3 linked regions of the Saccharomyces cerevisiae S288C genome follow. The protein of the gene in region 1 interacts with the protein of each later gene in a biochemical or structural test. Each region holds a gene or a part of one and is shown in the gene's direction. Other genes may lie near its edges. The genes, in order: YPP1, STT4 and EFR3.

Region 1 (5,026 bases):
AAATTCAAAAAAATCACTTTATAGATATCCACGGCATTATGGATTGGCATTATGTAGCCGTACCTGTAAAATTCGTTGTTCAAAACCATTGGGTAGAATGAAGCAGAAATATTTAATATGATCCACGTCATCAACCAAATACTCAGGTATGGAGGGCAGTAAGCTATAACTAAGCTGAGAACGTTTTCATTGGCACCACCAACAGCCATCATTACCAACCACGTAGACATCCAATATACTACGAATCCTCCTCTGCCAAAGGCGGGGGTGAAATCGATCCTAAAAATTGCAGATACGGTACAGAATCCAATGGAAAGAAGAAAATAAGTTGCCCAGGAAATTAGAAGCCTGTAGATTAAAATATGCTTTGGCTTCAGAACTCTGGCCATTTCTCCGTGCAACTTACCATATAATGACAGTTGTAAAACGGTTAACAAAATACAATAAATCAGACCGACCTGCAGAGGGGCCATTAGAATACGATCAGCAAAGGGACGATAATCGTTGTAGGTGAACAACAACTGTCCTGCAATCGCCCAGTTCTCCATGTTTATATTAAGATCTCTGTCATTAGAAGTGATGTTGCTCATCAATGAGGGAAGATATTCCTTGACGTAATATTTCTGAAGGCGGACCTCCAATTGTTGCATGAGTGGTAGAATGGTCGATTTAACACTCGATGGGTCACGACCACTTTCAAACACGGATTCAAAAAAAATTGATGAATTGAACTCCGAGTTTGCGTCTTGGCTAATCAAAGAATTATACAAAGTGTCTGTAGCATTAGGTTTAACGTTTAACGCCAGCCAGTATCTCTCATCGTAAATTAAATCGACTATCTTTCTGTCAATTTCGGTGGAGTTCGTCGTACCAAATTTCCTATGAAATGATGTTGCGTTGTATATATGCCATGTCCCGGGGACAGACGCTAACAATGAGGGTATGATCGCGGAAATAGATTGAACTGAAGTATTAGATGGCGCATCCTGCAATACAACAATATTTTTCACTTTGAAAAAGTAACGATCTGTTCCGTAACAGGCACCCCAGTAAATCGATATGAGCGATACACACACACAAGCAATGAAGAAGTTGTTCAAAACAAACTTCGAGAGAATCTTTTTCCTATGATTTCGCAGTCTTGGAGAAAAAAGCCCTGTTTGAATTCTTGCCAAGGGACCGCCGTCGTTACCGCCCTTCTCTTCCTCATTAGCGCCACCTTCCCCCACAGATGACAATGAGGACGGCTTTTCATCAGGAGGCCGATAGTCTTCTAATGACTTTGCTAAGTCAGAAGAATGGCCGGAACCCTCAGCAAATCGCTGATTACTGTACGAAACCCCGTCCCTGCCGCCAGTAAATGCAGCTGCTGCTGCAAAACTAGGGTCCTCAATGTACTGTGACTCTTCATCACCAACCGATTTAGTCATATTTGTTCTCTGTACGGCTACTTACACTTATGTCAGTACCCGATTCTTACGGCGTATAAAAGATTAAAGAAACAGGATATGTGGCTTGATATATACAAAAAAAAAGAACGATATGGAGTACACTATGTATCTCTCAACAATGCTAAGATATGAAGACGCTTATTGACTACGCCAGTCCGTTTTCCATTCCCTTCTTCGAATAGGGTGGCCCGTTGATGACAAAGCTGCGAGTCATCTATCATCAAACAAACTCACGGCTTTCGCTTTTCTTTAGTCTATTTCGGATTGTACCACCTCCTCGGACATTCATAAAAGGATTCGAAAACGAATAACCACGCATATACACGGAAATAGGAGAAAACTAAACGGGAATCGGTTTATTTTTTTCTCAACATTTCTTTTTCCTGATTTTCCATCCTTTTCGAGATCCACCTATTGTGGTGAAAAATAACGAAAATATGTGCTTTAGGTGTGCAAGGCATAATGTGTGGCATACTGGAAGGAACAAGTTGAACACGCCAGCTGGAAAGAAGTTCAATACCAACTTGCCCAATGCCTAACTCAAATGTTCGGATTCCTCCTACTGTTCCATCGAAGATAATAGATGTGGTCGACCAAGCGCTAAGAGCGCGACTCTTAGGTGGCAGCACCTTCAATTCAGGGTTTGATAGTTTAGATTCCGTACTTAACTTACAGTTTAGACTACATTACCATGTTATTGGATCGAATGGGCCTGCAAAACCAGTTTGTGATGTTTTACTGAAGGAAAGTCAAAATTTAGAAAAGAATATGAGTATGATGGAGGAGTTGAATGACTATCCGGAGATTACAAAACTAGTGGAGAAAATTCTGTTCAATTGCCTCGGTATTCTTTTCTTCCACAGGGGCCAATTTCAGGAATCGCAGCGGTGCTTGCTGCACTCGTTGAAAATTCATAATAACACTGCATCGCAAAAAACAGCACTTATGGAGCAGTATGATAGGTATTTGATCGTAGAAAACCTGTACTACCGTGGTCTAGTTTCGCAAGACATAAATATCATGCAAAATGTTTTTTACAAAGAACTACTGGCCCACGTGGATACGATCCCTCCCGAATCAAACGGTCTTCTTTTCGAATACATCAGCTTGATCGTCGCAAAACTCAGGTTCAATCAAATTCAGGATTTAGCAGAAAATTTTAAAACTACCGTCGAAAATCCTTTTATTCTTTTCCTTTACATGATAAAGAAGTTCCAGTCACCTCTCAAAAAGCACATTGATAATGATGATCTTTATTTGAAGTTCGGACAGAACGTTTTGTTGAAGGCCAAATTTCCTACTGCTAGTGAGACAAATGATGAAGCTTTGGAGCATTTTAATGTCTTTTTGCAGTATTATTTCAAATTCACTCACATAAAAAAAATAAAAGTGAATCCCAGTTGGTATAATTTCATAATATCTTCAATGGAAAAGACTTTTCAAAGTATTGAAGTTTCGAAAACAGCAATGTTTCTTTTCCAAAACCTAAGCGATAACAGTAATGACGAAATAAAGAAGAAGACATTTAAAAGAGAATCTATACTAAATTTTGTTAATTTTGTGAAATACAACGACAAGTACTATCAACTGCACGATAACTCCCACCGTGACATAATTTCATTCATTGATGCGTATTCTTTTATTTTACAAAACTCCTCCAAAACCGATTCAATCGAAAATGTTTTTGATTACGATAATACGGTATCTACGTTTGCGACTTCCTTGAATTCCTTCTACAAAGAATATAATTTGCCATTAATGAGCCAATCAGAATCTTTAGATTGGCTAGAAAACAGCACCAGATGTGTATACCCAGGAAACATTTCGAAAGTTCTAACAAATGCGTGGTCAACATTGTACGAAATCAGAAAATATCAGTTAGATTTTCTTGTATCTAATAATTTGACTTCATATCTATGTAATGCAATGATGCTGTCCACAAAAGAAAAAGACAATGCTGATGTAGAAGAGCAGGAAGAAGGAGAGGAGGAGAAGGCATTACGTGAATTACAATTTAAATATTCTTACACTCTAGCACAACAGAGGCACATTGAAACTGCAATCAAGACTCTAGAATCATTGATATTAAGTAAAAACCCAAATTACTACAAAGCTTGGCATCTATTAGCTCTTTGTAGGTCTGTGCAAGAGGATAAGGAAATGTCGTACAAGATAGTTTGCTCTGTTCTAGAAGCTATGAATGAAAGTCTTCAGAACAATACTTTACTTCTGAATGATAGATGGCAATTTATTCACCTAAAATTAACGCAATTGGCGCTAATTGAAGAAATTTTTGGCACTTTAGAGGCACTGGAGACACTTCCAGAGGTCTTTGAATTATACGCAACATTATTTCCAGATTCACAACCTGAATTGAACAGCATGGGTCCCAAATATTCTCAAACTAAAGAATATCTTTTACAAATGGTGTGGATTTTTGCTGCAAATATGTACATGAGAACAAAAGACAATGATGAGGATGCCAAGGCCGCCATCAAAGAAGCCTCCAATGTCGAAAGTAAATTCAAGAATTTAAATTGTAATATTGCTAACGGTTATTTATCAATAATAAAAGATGAACCAGGCGTGGCATTAAAGGAATTTGAAACAGTTCTGTACTATGATGAGAATAATTTAGATGCCTTGGTCGGATTCGCTGAATTAATTTTCCCTGAAGAACTAGGCGTCGAGGAAACTAATCTTGAGCGTTATTATACTCTCAGCCTTGATAAAAAACCAGGTAAGAGGGCCAAACTTACGTTCGTTAATGACACAGATAGGTCAGCAGCGTATGCAAGACTAAAATTTCTATTGGAGTGCGCAATACTAGAATCGATCGAGGCTTACTATTCCCCAGAAGTTTGGTGGTATTTGTCCCTCATTTACGAGAAATATCAAGATGACGAGTACAAAAACTCTTTGCTAAAATGTATTAAATACCAAGAGTTGAATCCCATTCGCTCCCTAAGGTATTGCAATTACTAACGATAATTCTTCTGATATATACACACACATATATACATATGGGCGCAAGTATATTCTGGTGTAAAGATACTCATAGAAAGCATAAAGATGTAATTCAATCTAGTTGTATTATATTATTCATTGATTTATATTAATTTGATGAACAATGGAACATCTTCTCTTCAATAACGGTTTTGCCCATATACTTGACGTTATTAGGTTACCCGTTTTTATAAATGTAATAAGTTCAATAATTTGAAAAGAGCATTAGCTATAGTCACGTTTCGCGTTGAAACAATTCTTTAAATTATCTTCTCTTGGCAGTTTAATATACCAAACGATAGTCCTAACATACTGTTTTTCTTATTATTTACCAATGAGTAAAGCCAAGGGAACGGGATTTTCATCAATTGATACTGAAGATGAAAACTTACGCGAACGTTATGTTAATCAACCAAAAGCTAATGCCTCCGATATTCAAGATGAACAATTAGATTGCTTTGAGCAACTAGAAGAAAAACATAGGACAAAAAAAAATGAAGAATACACTGCGTTGAAAATTTTAAGGGATGTCATAGGTCCCCTTTTATTAACTATAACTTCGTTTTATC
Region 2 (8,026 bases), on another chromosome or scaffold:
GTAATCTAGCGGAATATAAGGTGGGTCAATTCCAGGCCATTGTGTAAGATTAGTAAATTCTGTTAACCACTCTGGAAAGGGCGTTTGCATATCTACTTCCCCCATCAATGCGGTACTCCCATTTGACGCAAGGCAATTTCCCTGTTTTAGAAAAAATGCTGCGAACAGCACAGATTGTATTGTATTGAAAATTTTCATCTCTTTTCTTGTGTAAAAGTAAATCTATCACTTAATTTTGTTTCTCTATATTCCACTTTGCTTACTTCTAAGCATCTACTTTGTTAGAACTATTGGTCTTTTTGAAAACACAAAAGTAAATCAACCCACTTGTTGGTATTTTTCTCTTTTAATTGCGATTGAATGACGGCCGGTCCGGAAAATGTGACATCTGGAAAAGAGAAATGTTGAAGCTGCTTCCAAGTGCATGAGACAGAATTTTTTTTACAGAAAATAGAAAGCGTTATCTTGTTAAATATTACTAACTAGTATAGTCATTCATTTTTTTCTTCCATAGTTGTAATATCTTTATTTTTTGTAAGAATTAGCGATAGCTGAGATTGCGTTCTTCAACTTCCTGCTCTCTCTTAGTCTTCTATCCAGGGTATCTCACCTTCCTGATTATCTTGTCAATAGCCATGGCTTCGCTGTTTCTTTATTATAAGAAGTATTTTTTGTTTTCTTCAAGAAATTTTTCGTATTAATATCTTTATGTTTTGTTTGCCTTTACTGGCCAGAAATTTTATACTTATTTTGAATAGAACACATTAAGTTCTACAGGTACCTGCAAAATATCGAGACAAAAGTTTGAACGAGAATATAAGGAATGTTGGTCATAAGGCGTAAACTAACAGAAGATGGCGGTAGCAAGATGTTACCAAGGCGACAACTCGCCTAGTATGTCACAATTATCTATAATTTTATTGTTTATATATAATCAAATCAACCGAAAATTACTCTGAACTTGACTCAAGGAGAAACTATGTTATCATATTTGACATGTTCAATTGAACCTCCAGACATGGTCAATCTCACAGCTTCAGCAAATTCTTTCTCACCCTCACACAGTAACTTTGCTGCATCCTTGTTTAACGGGTCATTGGGATTAGGCTCCAAGAACAAGAAAAGAAGCCCGGTTATAATACTCTGCAAATCTAGAGCTGGCGACCAGTCTTCTCGAAGAATATTTAGGCAAACGTTCCCCTTTAAATCGATATTTGGATGAAAGATCTTCTTCAAACATACAACTTTTGGTGGTTCAATCGGATAAACTTCGTTAAAATCCAAATTGAAATTAATAGATCCATAATTATAATATCCTTCATCAGGCCTAACAATTACCTCCAATTTCGGCGATTGTGATCTATCCGCACTATCTGGTGATGTTATTACATTCAAAGTCACTGTTGGTGGGAGGTCCAGCGAATCAAGGTCCCTTTTCAAACGAATTCTTGCTGCCGATAAATTAGGCTGAATAGAACTGCTGTTTTCATTTTCTTTTTGCTTTTTCTTTTGTAATTGGCGTAATTTCAACTATTTGAATAAAGCCAAGAATATACATATCCAGTACACATATACATTCTCACCCCCCAAAAAGATTATGTTAGTATTTTCGATCGCTAAAAACCGCCAATGAGAAACGGAAAGATATAGTTGCATCTACGTACCATTTTTATTATCTTGTTTTATATTCTCTAACTGATTCTTTAATGTCTCTAAGTACATTTATGAATGATTGGCCTTTTTCATCTCATTTTACCTTTTGGCTGATATCATCAAACGGCACGCGCAGGGATGAAGGTACGTTAATAGTATTTTTTTTTTTCAAGAATACTGCGAAGATGTTTGAGTTGTGGGAAAAAACATATTCAACATTAATAACTATTGTAAATCAAGAAAAAAATTAGATCACAAAAAGATAACTACAGCAATCGAAAACGCCACTCGTTTAAGGCAGATGAGATTTACCAGAGGATTGAAAGCCTCTTCATCTTTAAGAGCGAAAGCTATTGGAAGACTAACTAAACTTTCGACGGGTGCACCAAATGATCAAAACAGTAATGGTACAACATTAGATTTGATAACTCATACATTGCCTATTTTTTATTCCACAAATACGTCAAAGATATATACTATACCACTTACATTGAGTGAATGGGAAGTACTAACTTCGCTTTGTGTTGCAATCCCTACCACGCTCGATCTGGTAGAGACAATGCTTAAAGAAATAATTGCGCCTTATTTTCTGGAAACTCCAAGACAAAGAATTTCAGATGTTCTGTCCTCGAAATTCAAGTTGGAACAGATGAGAAATCCGATTGAATTGCTAACTTTCCAGCTGACTAAGTTTATGATTCAAGCTTGTGAACAGTATCCCGTTCTTTATGAAAATATAGGCGGCATCATTTCAACTTATTTTGAGCGTGTATTAAAGATTTTTACTATTAAACAATCTGGTCTACTATCATTAGTGGGCTTTATTAATGCATTTATCCAGTTTCCCAACTCTACAGAGCTTACTAAATTCACCTGGAAAAAGTTAGCGAAACTTGTGCTTCGTGGATCATTTCTAAACGAAGTTGATAAGATTTTGAATTCCTCAGCAACGTTTACCAATGATTCAATCGTCCAGTATTACGATGCTGGAAATGAGCTATCCAGTGCCTACTTATTGGAATTAATATCTCGCTTGCAAGTTTCGCTAATATCTCATCTGTTAAACACTTCACATGTCGGCGCCAACTTGAGTGAGTTCTTACTAAATCAACAATACCAATTTTACAAATTTGATCAAGAAGTAGCCGATGAAAACGATGATACGAAGTGTATTGATGACTTTTTTTTCAACGTAAGAAGCAATAAACAGTTTTTTACAGACATGTGTAAAATTTCCCTGCAATTTTGTTCTGAGTCACATATTCTCGACCTATCTACAGACAACCGTGCAAGATTTTCTTTTGATACTCGAGCCCACTACCTACAAACGCTATGTTTAATTCCGTTTATAGAAGATACAGAAAGCGAGCTTTTTGAAAGTTTTACAAACGTTGTTTCTGAATCTATTGATAAATTTTTCTTATCTGATGTCGTTACACCATCTTTGATAAAAGCAATTGTAGCTTCTGCCTCATTACTGAATTTTTTCACGGAAAAATTGTCATTAACTCTGATTCGTATGTTTCCTTTATTGGTAGCGTCTCCACATATCACGACTGAAACAGTTAATGATGTTGCAAAAATATTCACCACAGGGTTATACCCTCTAAATGAAGATGCAATTGTGAGTACAATTTATTCCATGAACAACTTATTAGCTGTTTCCGAGGACGGATCGCCCGTCCCGGTGCTCCGTGAGCGCCAATTAACAATAACATCTGGAAAAAATATTGAGAAAGACTACTTTCCCTTGCGAAATTCATCTGCCAGTTTGGATGGCACTGGTGCTCTGCTCGGAAATACAACTGTGGGCCAACTTTCCTCCCATGATGTCAATAGTGGAGCTACTATGACATACCATGCCTCTTTGATATCTAATTGTGTGGCTGCAACGACTACAATCGCCTCATACTATAACACCCAAAGCATAACAGCTTTGACTATCTCTATTCTTACGCAAAAAGTTAATTCTATGTCAAAGGAATTAGACGGTGTTATTTTGAATTCTTTGGCAAGACTGGCTCCGAATACTTCACTGACAGAATTTTCGCTTTTACTAAAGTTCTTCAAATCGAGAACTGTTATTGCAACAAAAATTGATGATAGCGCACTATTGAAAAATATTATTAAAGCGAAATGTGTGATATCAAAAGAATTGTTGGCCAGGCATTTTTCAAGTGACTTATATTTCATGTATCTTCATGATCTATTGGACTCAATCATTGCCAGTGGGGAAGTAGAACGATTGGAACATCACAGACCTCAAACGGAGATTTCCCGTGTTGCTGATCAAATCGCTACCTACTTAGAGCCCCTCGCCGCTCTACTACCTGTTCCAGGCGATACGCCATTGGACATCAATAAGGATGAAGTCACTACAAACAAGTTTAGGAACGCCTGGTTTAATTTTGTCATCCATGGGTACCACTTGGGCGGGCCTATTGTCAAACGAAATTTTTCTTTCTTATTAACTATTGCCTATAATTCACCACCGCTGGCTTCTGAATTTCCTGCTAATAACAAGGAGCTTTCATTGGAAATGAATACAATTTTGCGCCGCGGTTCATCTAACGAAAATATCAAACAACAAAAACAGCAGATAACCGAATATTTCAATACCAATATTGTTCAGTACAGAACAACTTCATCGTCTAAAATCATGTTTTTAGCGGCTGCCGTTCTTCTAGAAACGATAAGATGCGAGGCAGGTGATTGTTCGAAGACTCTACTGTACTTCTCAGACCCCTCCATTCTTTCCGGTTCAATTGAGAAGTGTATTGCAGTTTTGTCGGTTTCCATGATTAGAAAATATGCTAGGTTGATTCAAAAGGGTAACGATGCCATATTCAACTCCAAAATGATTGCTCAACAACTTAATAACTTGCTACTTTGCCTTTCTCATAGGGAACCAACTTTGCAGGATGCCGCTTTTCATGCCTGTGAAATATTTATCAGATCTATTCCATCATCGTTATGTCATCATTTGTCTCTCTACACCTTATTAGATATGTTAACAGCCCTATTTGATAGTATCTTGGACTCAGAGGCGCATAAATTTGAACCACGGTATGAATTTAAATTAAAACATTCTAAGACAACAATATTGGTTCCAAGCTCATCGTCCTGGCGCGCTACGACACTATCAAGATTGCACAAGTCAGCTAAAGAATGGGTAAGAATTCTATTGAATAGAAGCAACCAGGATACTAAGATTTTGTTGCAATCATACATATCAGATCTCGGTGAGTACAGCAGGCTAAATTCTGTTGAATTTGGTGTCTCATTTGCCATGGATATGGCTGGTTTGATTTTACCTGCAGATAAGGAATTATCAAGGCTTACTTATTATGGTCCAGAGAAACCTAACACGATTTCTGGATTTATATCTTTACATTCTTGGAGGTCAAAATATCTTTTCGATACCGCTATTACATCATCACCAGAGGATATCAAAAGGCAAATAGGTATTTCCACTCAAAACATAAGAAAAAATTTGACCTTAGGAAATAAGATTATAACTAAAGACGTAACTGATTTTCTTGATATGGCTACCGCGTTGTTAATTCTTGGCAATGGTGCACCAGCGTCATTGATATATGATATTGTGCACATCCCGTTCGAAGTCTTCACCTCTGCATCTTTAAAGATTGCTACAAACGTATGGTTAACAATCATAACTGAGAAGCCCGAAGTTGCACATTTGCTTTTAGTTGAAGTATGCTATTGCTGGATGCGCTCCATTGATGACAATATTGGTCTCTATTCTCGCGATCATGACTTAAAGGGCGAAGAATACCAAAAAATGGAATATTCCCCTTACGACAAAGCAGGTATCAACAGAGATGCAAAAAATGCATCCCAAGCTATGCAACCACATCTTCATGTTATTAAATTTTTTGCTTCCCATTTCGAGGGCACACTATTTCAAAGTGACTTTTTATTGAAAATTTTCACGAAATGTGCGCTTTATGGTATCAAGAATCTGTATAAGGCTTCACTACACCCGTTCGCTAGAATGATTCGCCACGAATTATTGTTATTCGCGACTCTCGTACTAAACGCAAGTTATAAGCAGGGATCCAAGTATATGGGCCGTTTGTCGCAAGAAATCACAAACGGTGCCCTAAGTTGGTTTAAAAGACCAGTAGCGTGGCCATTCGGCTCAAATGAGCTGAAAATCAAAGCAGATTTATCTGTTACTAGGGACCTTTTCCTTCAGCTCAACAAATTAAGCTCGCTAATGTCACGTCATTGCGGGAAAGATTACAAGATCCTGAACTATTTCTTGGCAAGCGAAATCCAGCAGATTCAAACCTGGCTTACTCCGACTGAGAAGATTGAAGGAGCCGACAGCAACGAGCTTACAAGCGATATCGTTGAAGCTACCTTTGCTAAAGATCCAACATTAGCAATAAATCTCTTACAACGATGTTATAGCAAGAAAGCTGAGGATGTTTTAGTGGGCTTAGTTGCAAAACATGCTTTAATGTGTGTGGGGTCCCCAAGTGCTCTTGACCTGTTCATAAAAGGAAGCCACCTGAGCAGTAAGAAAGACCTACACGCAACCTTATACTGGGCGCCAGTGAGCCCGTTAAAATCTATCAACCTTTTCCTTCCCGAATGGCAAGGTAATTCTTTTATCTTACAATTCAGCATATATTCGTTGGAATCACAAGATGTGAACTTGGCATTCTTCTATGTTCCTCAAATCGTACAATGTTTGAGATACGATAAAACCGGATATGTCGAAAGATTGATTTTGGATACTGCGAAAATTAGTGTGTTATTTTCTCATCAAATAATCTGGAATATGCTTGCAAACTGCTACAAGGATGATGAAGGTATACAAGAAGATGAAATCAAACCAACTCTAGATCGTATTAGGGAGCGTATGGTTTCAAGTTTCAGCCAATCTCATCGCGATTTTTACGAACGTGAATTTGAATTCTTCGACGAAGTAACTGGCATATCTGGTAAGTTGAAACCATACATAAAAAAAAGTAAGGCTGAAAAGAAACATAAGATCGATGAAGAAATGAGCAAAATTGAGGTGAAACCTGATGTTTATTTACCTTCTAATCCTGACGGTGTAGTTATTGATATTGATCGGAAGAGTGGTAAGCCACTTCAATCTCACGCAAAGGCGCCTTTTATGGCGACCTTTAAAATAAAGAAAGACGTAAAAGATCCTTTGACAGGTAAAAACAAGGAAGTTGAAAAATGGCAAGCTGCTATCTTCAAAGTCGGTGATGACTGTAGGCAAGATGTTCTAGCGTTACAATTGATCTCGCTATTTAGAACCATTTGGTCTAGTATTGGCTTGGATGTCTACGTTTTTCCCTACAGAGTTACTGCGACGGCACCGGGTTGTGGTGTCATCGATGTGCTACCCAATTCGGTATCCCGTGATATGTTAGGACGTGAAGCTGTTAATGGATTATATGAATATTTCACTAGTAAATTTGGTAATGAATCTACTATCGAATTTCAAAACGCACGAAACAACTTTGTTAAATCCTTAGCGGGATATAGCGTAATTTCGTATTTGTTGCAATTCAAGGATAGACATAATGGTAACATTATGTACGATGATCAAGGACATTGTCTACATATCGATTTTGGGTTTATTTTTGATATTGTCCCAGGTGGTATCAAGTTTGAAGCAGTACCATTCAAGCTGACGAAAGAAATGGTTAAAGTGATGGGAGGTTCGCCCCAGACCCCAGCGTATCTGGACTTTGAAGAACTTTGTATCAAGGCATATCTAGCCGCCCGTCCGCACGTGGAGGCCATAATTGAGTGTGTAAATCCTATGTTAGGAAGCGGTCTCCCCTGCTTTAAGGGTCACAAGACAATTAGGAATCTAAGAGCAAGATTTCAACCTCAAAAAACCGATCACGAAGCTGCACTATATATGAAGGCGCTAATCCGTAAAAGTTATGAAAGTATATTCACTAAAGGTTATGATGAATTCCAAAGGCTCACAAATGGCATTCCGTACTGATATACTTCGCACTTTACATATGCTTATATAAAAATACCAGTTTCCCATCGTCAATTACGCAGACGTAGCCTTCGTTTATTTTCTCTCTTTTTGTATATCATTGTATTAATCATAATCCATTGTATTTTACTTTGTCTTATCTGGCTTTAATGAATGACGCCGGTCACACGCGGGTGCCTGATTCTCGATTGTGCCAAGCCATTTGGGCACGGTGTCAAATTACCTAAAAAATGGCCGAGAGCCGCAAAAGGGAGGTCCGCGGGGCCGGGCAATACCCTTTGTTTTTCGAGCATTTCGGCGCCGAAATCGGCAAAGGTCCTGACCAATCAATAGAGAAATTAGTGCATACGAGAAAAATTTGAACCCTTC
Region 3 (4,874 bases), on another chromosome or scaffold:
AGACTCCACTTTTGATTGGATCGATTCCAGAAGAACCTCAGTTGGGGGCATTGCTGTTTTGAATTGTATTTTCATGGAAGTGCGCCCTTGGGTTATATGCTGCATACGCGACTCCACCTCTTTGAGAAAATCTACCGTATCTTCTGGTACCATGTGAGGTTCTTTGTTTATGGCGTTCGCGACTAGCAAGTTGTACTTATTGTCAATCGCGGACTGCGGATTGTTTTTGAATTCTGGTATGGGTAGCGTTGAGTAAGCTAATGGAACGGCTACTAATGAGACGCGTGGCGCATCATTTTGAGATGGTGGTTCTATGAAGTTGTCCTCTTCATTCATCGCTCTTTCATTTTCAAATTCTTTCTCGTATTCCGCTATCTCTGCATCTTCTTCTTTCTCGTCTTCACTTAATACAATTTCGAAATCGTTCTTGGGACTAGGCAAAGATGCGAACATTTGCACTAAAAATTTTCGTATGCGTGATTTTAGCTGTTTACCACTCTTTATATTACTGCGTTCATTATCTTCTTGGCCGGAGTCGTGGGGTAGTAGTTCTTTTGGTGTCAACACAGTGCCAGTTGCTTGTGCCTCGATTAGTTTTTGTCTTTTGCTTTCTAGCTTTTTTTTATAGGTGACTTTTCCCTGTTTCGTTCCTGGTGCAGATAGTATAAGTTTTGGTTTTTTATACTCATCCGTCAATGTAGTAGATTCACCCAGTGCTGCTTTCTCAACGTGTTCGTTCTCATCGTGTTTTCTTTTTTTGTCCTTATTTTTTTTACTTGGCTTATCCTTATTACCATCCAAACCTTTTCTGTTGACTTTTCTCTCAAACTGCTCAAACTTCTTTTTTATCTGGCGGTCTTCAGTGGACGTGTCATATATACCTGGCATGGGAGCTTGTTCATATACTATATCTTCATTGTAATCAATGTCGGTGCCGTATTTTTTTTTCGGTTTCTTAATGGCAACATTAATTCCTGCTTGCTTTAGCTCACGCCTCTTTTGTAGTTCAGCAATGCGTTTTGATTCTTCGAGCATCCGCTCTCTAATCTTTCTTGTAGCCTTCTTACCTTGGGTATTTAACAGACGAGCCCTAGCTTCAGCAAGCATTTCCTTTTCCTCATCTTCCAAATCACCATTATCTGGTCTAGCCATTTGAGTTTCAGCGTTAGGATTAATATCCCCGGCTTTCAAGTCAGTAACTCCTGTACTTAACGCAGCCCCTCCACTGTCTTCACTTTCTAATAGCCTATTATATCTTTCGACGCAGACCTGTGCAGGCCTGGCCATCATATCAGCTATGGTCCTCCACTGATTAGGCAGCTCTCTTGCAAGATCTAGAAGTTGGGCATCCTCCTCCTTCGAGAACTCTGTAAAATTCAACTTTGGATTTAAATATTCATTCCACCTTAATTCACTCTGCCTGGCAGTCTTTTTCTGCAAAAGGGATGCTACTTTGCTCCACTGATGAGTTCCGTATTTTTGTACAGCCGCTTTAAGAATCTGATCCTCCACATTGGTCCATACACCGCCTTTCACGTATATTGGTACGGGGGGCATCTTGAAATGCTAGTATAGTCCTCTTAGAAATGTTTTGCTTTTTTTCTTTACTATCTTCCTGAGTCGCATATGCTTTTTTGTCATAATAGTTCATAGCATTAATTTTTCATTAAACTTCAACCCCGGCCAAAGGAAGAGGAAGAAAATTTTGTTCGAACTACTAGGAAGGTAATGGTTTTGTTGAAAAAGCCAGGCAGCCAGGATAAATTGAAAGTATTGTGAGCAACCCCGCTATTGGAGTAGTATTAATTCAGTGGCAGACTGTATATTGAACCCAGATCATTCGCTCTATTATTCATCTTTCGTTCATTTTCAATTGTTCTGAAAGTGGTTTGCGATGCAGTTGTCTATGCGGATGATGTTCACACCAAAACATCAGAAACTGGTCAATCAATGTTATCCTACGGGAAGGACCACAGATAAGAAGCCTAAATCTTCGGAAACTTCATATTTGCTATATTACGTTAACTCGAGGCGTAGTAAATTGGAGAAAGTTAGCACTTACCTGATTAAGCGTTCCACTTCCGACTTGAACCATCGGCGCATAGGGAACATAGCCGTTACATTGGATTTAATGAACAAAATTGTGTTGCATTGTAAGGAGAATTTGAATGTATTTGTTAAAGATTTTTTGTACATTATGAACAAAGTTCTTTCCAACAACAATTTTAACAATGATGTATCTGTTGTTGAATTAATAGAACTGGCATTTAGTAGTATATGCCAGAACTTGGACGACGTCTTGTGTAACGGTGACATGGAATTCGTCCAGTTATACCAGAACTTTGTTGATCTTTTTTTTAAAATAGTTACTGAAAGAATTCATAATGATGACATGCTTCTGAAATGCTGTATTGATATATCAAACACAAATAGTGTTTCAAGCAACCCACAACTAAACCACTTTGTTTCCAAGTCTGTTGCCTATACTATTTCAAAGTTCCAAGAGAGAAATCCGAAATTTAAAACTTTGTCGCTGGAAGCAGCTCTGGAGAGCAATTTAGGAAAAAGGCTAAGTCGAACACAAACTCGTACAATTGGGTTAGATAAGGCCGCCGAAGATAATCATGACCTTTCAGTAAAAGCATTGCAATCCTATTTTAACACAACTGAGACAGACAAATTGAATTTGTCTATTCGTACTCTGTTGCGCTGTCTGCAAAGTACACCTAATAAGGAACTGCTAGAGTTTGTATGCAATGGTATACCTGTTCAGTTACGATATATTGTTATACTTCTTTTGGTCAGACAACTAAGCGACAAGGATAAAAATGTAAATCCAATTGTTTCCTTGAAATTGATGTCGTCATTACTTGTTTCAGATGTCAGTATAGTGGGGTTGAGTGTTCTTGATATAATGAGAAAGCTTTTAAATTTCCAGTTGAAAAATGCAACTAATAAAGAAGTTGTGGCACAGTCTTGTATCACCATGACAGACCTTAACCATAAAACTTATTACGCTGAACAGACCTCAGATATGTTATATGAACTACTATTGAAATTGAAAAGTGACACCGTCAAGGATGTTGAAAAGAATGCAGTTGTGGAAGATATTGATTTCCTCGTTGAACATATTACGCAGCCAAGTATCAGTTTGGAATTATTCATCGACTTGGCGCATTACATGAAAAACCACATTATATGTTTATTTAACATTGTTGAAACTGAGGTTCCAAGCAGCATTCTCTTTTCAAAACTGTACTCATTATTACGTGAACTGGATTCACATGGTGTGCAAAAAGAAATGATGGAAGAGATCTTTGACAAGTATGGAAAAATGGCACTATTATCCGGTTTGAATTATTTTCTAGAGAACGTTTCTGAGCCTGAGTATACCTATTATTCGTACCATTTACAAGCAGCTAACTTTTTAAAACTCAATGACTACAAGTCACAAACTGAGTACAAAATGCAAACTAGAACTTTGTTTACCAAGGAAGATTTATTGTCATACTATTCTGATACTGGATCAAATAAATACAGCAAGAAGGGGGCGCAGATTTTATTGTCTCGTGATAATCAAATTTCTACTTCTGATTTACTGTCGGACTCTCAAGTTCGTACTACACCTCTGGAGTACAAGAATGTCCCTAATGCTATTTTTTCAAATGGGAAAGCAGTGTATGATAACAACGATTTTGCGGCCAAGCAAAATAAATTCGACAACAGCATAGATGACAATATAGAAGAAGCTAACGATACTGTAATTTCTGATGCTAATGCAAAAGGTAGTATCTATAGGTTTGTTGCTGAGGACGCAAGATCATGGAAAACAATGAGAGCCACCGCACCAAAAGTTAGCGATTTGAAAAAAACTATGAATGAAAAGAATATTCCAAATAATATGAAAAGAGATGGCTCTTTTCGGGGTTCTCAATCAGTGAAATCTCGTGTCACTAATATCACATTTTTATTAAATGAATTGAAAACTTTTTCAGATGACGCGAATAAAATCAAAGATCCTGATGAGGAGAATATTGTTGGCTTGGATAAAATCGACGTTGCTAGATCAAATTCTCTGCGACTTGCACCAATATCTAGTCTTTCTGATCGCAGTAGCATTGGAAATAGAAAATCCTTTTTGCAAAAAACAGCAACTGGTGAAAATCAAAACGATGACTTTAAAGACGCAAATGAAGATTTACATTCTTTAAGTTCAAGAGGTAAAATTTTCTCCTCCACTTGAGAAATTAAGTTTTTGACGGACAGCTGTGGATGCTTTCAAGGGCAAGAGTGATATAGCATGACTTTCTAATTAATGTAATTTACGTAGATATAGATCAAATGGCGAAGTAAAAACTTCGAAAAAGATGGAAGAAGTCCTGTTTGCCTCAACTGGAGAAAGGAAATACGTAGCTGCAAACTGCTTATCACATATCGTCATCACCAGAATCTTCGTCTTCATACCACCCAGATTCGTACGCTGAGGCGTAATCGGAAAGTTCATTTTTCAATTCTTCTCTGTCACTATCATTTTTGAAGTACCTTACCACAAACTCATTCCAATGTTTGAATATATCTCGATTTTTTTCAGATGATTCTAATTCCAAAACAAATTCACGATCATTGGAAAATTCTGTCGGTATCGTATCAGATGGAAAATACCTGTGTGTATACATTTCAATCATCTTACTCCGTGAATCAGGTTCGGAATGATGTTTATGCGTTTGATTTCCTCTATCAATGAAACTTTTTGAAAATATGTGAGTAGAATTTGGTTTGTGGCTATTCTTGAAAGGAAGTACTCGAGAACAGAATGAGTAATCGGTGTCACCGATAACCATGCCAGTGACCATATTTCGCGACGAATATCCTAA

Evidence for each region.
Region 2: the proteins of YPP1 (region 1) and STT4 form a complex in vitro, tested with the Saccharomyces cerevisiae proteins (2 studies listed by BioGRID).
Region 3: the proteins of YPP1 (region 1) and EFR3 form a complex in vitro, tested with the Saccharomyces cerevisiae proteins (2 studies listed by BioGRID).

What each region holds. Positions count from the first base shown.
Region 1 is NC_001139.9:892,711-897,736, forward strand, and holds YPP1 (Ypp1p), read left to right. Parts: upstream 1-1,982; coding exon 1,983-4,436; downstream 4,437-5,026. Other genes in the region: SNG1 (Sng1p), read right to left, coding at 1-1,430; dolichyl-phosphate-mannose-protein mannosyltransferase PMT6, read left to right, coding at 4,792-5,026. UniProt on the Saccharomyces cerevisiae protein: Involved in endocytosis.
Region 2 is NC_001144.5:737,792-745,817, reverse strand, and holds STT4 (1-phosphatidylinositol 4-kinase STT4), read left to right. Parts: upstream 1-1,954; coding exon 1,955-7,657; downstream 7,658-8,026. Other genes in the region: chitin deacetylase CDA1, read right to left, coding at 1-198; NEDD8-conjugating protein UBC12, read right to left, coding at 967-1,530, 1,665-1,667. UniProt on the Saccharomyces cerevisiae protein: Acts on phosphatidylinositol (PI) in the first committed step in the production of the second messenger inositol 1,4,5,-trisphosphate. STT4 functions in PKC1 protein kinase pathway.
Region 3 is NC_001145.3:690,064-694,937, reverse strand, and holds EFR3 (Efr3p), read left to right. Parts: upstream 1-1,894; coding exon 1,895-4,243; downstream 4,244-4,874. Other genes in the region: CEF1 (Cef1p), read right to left, coding at 1-1,557; DML1 (Dml1p), read right to left, coding at 4,428-4,874.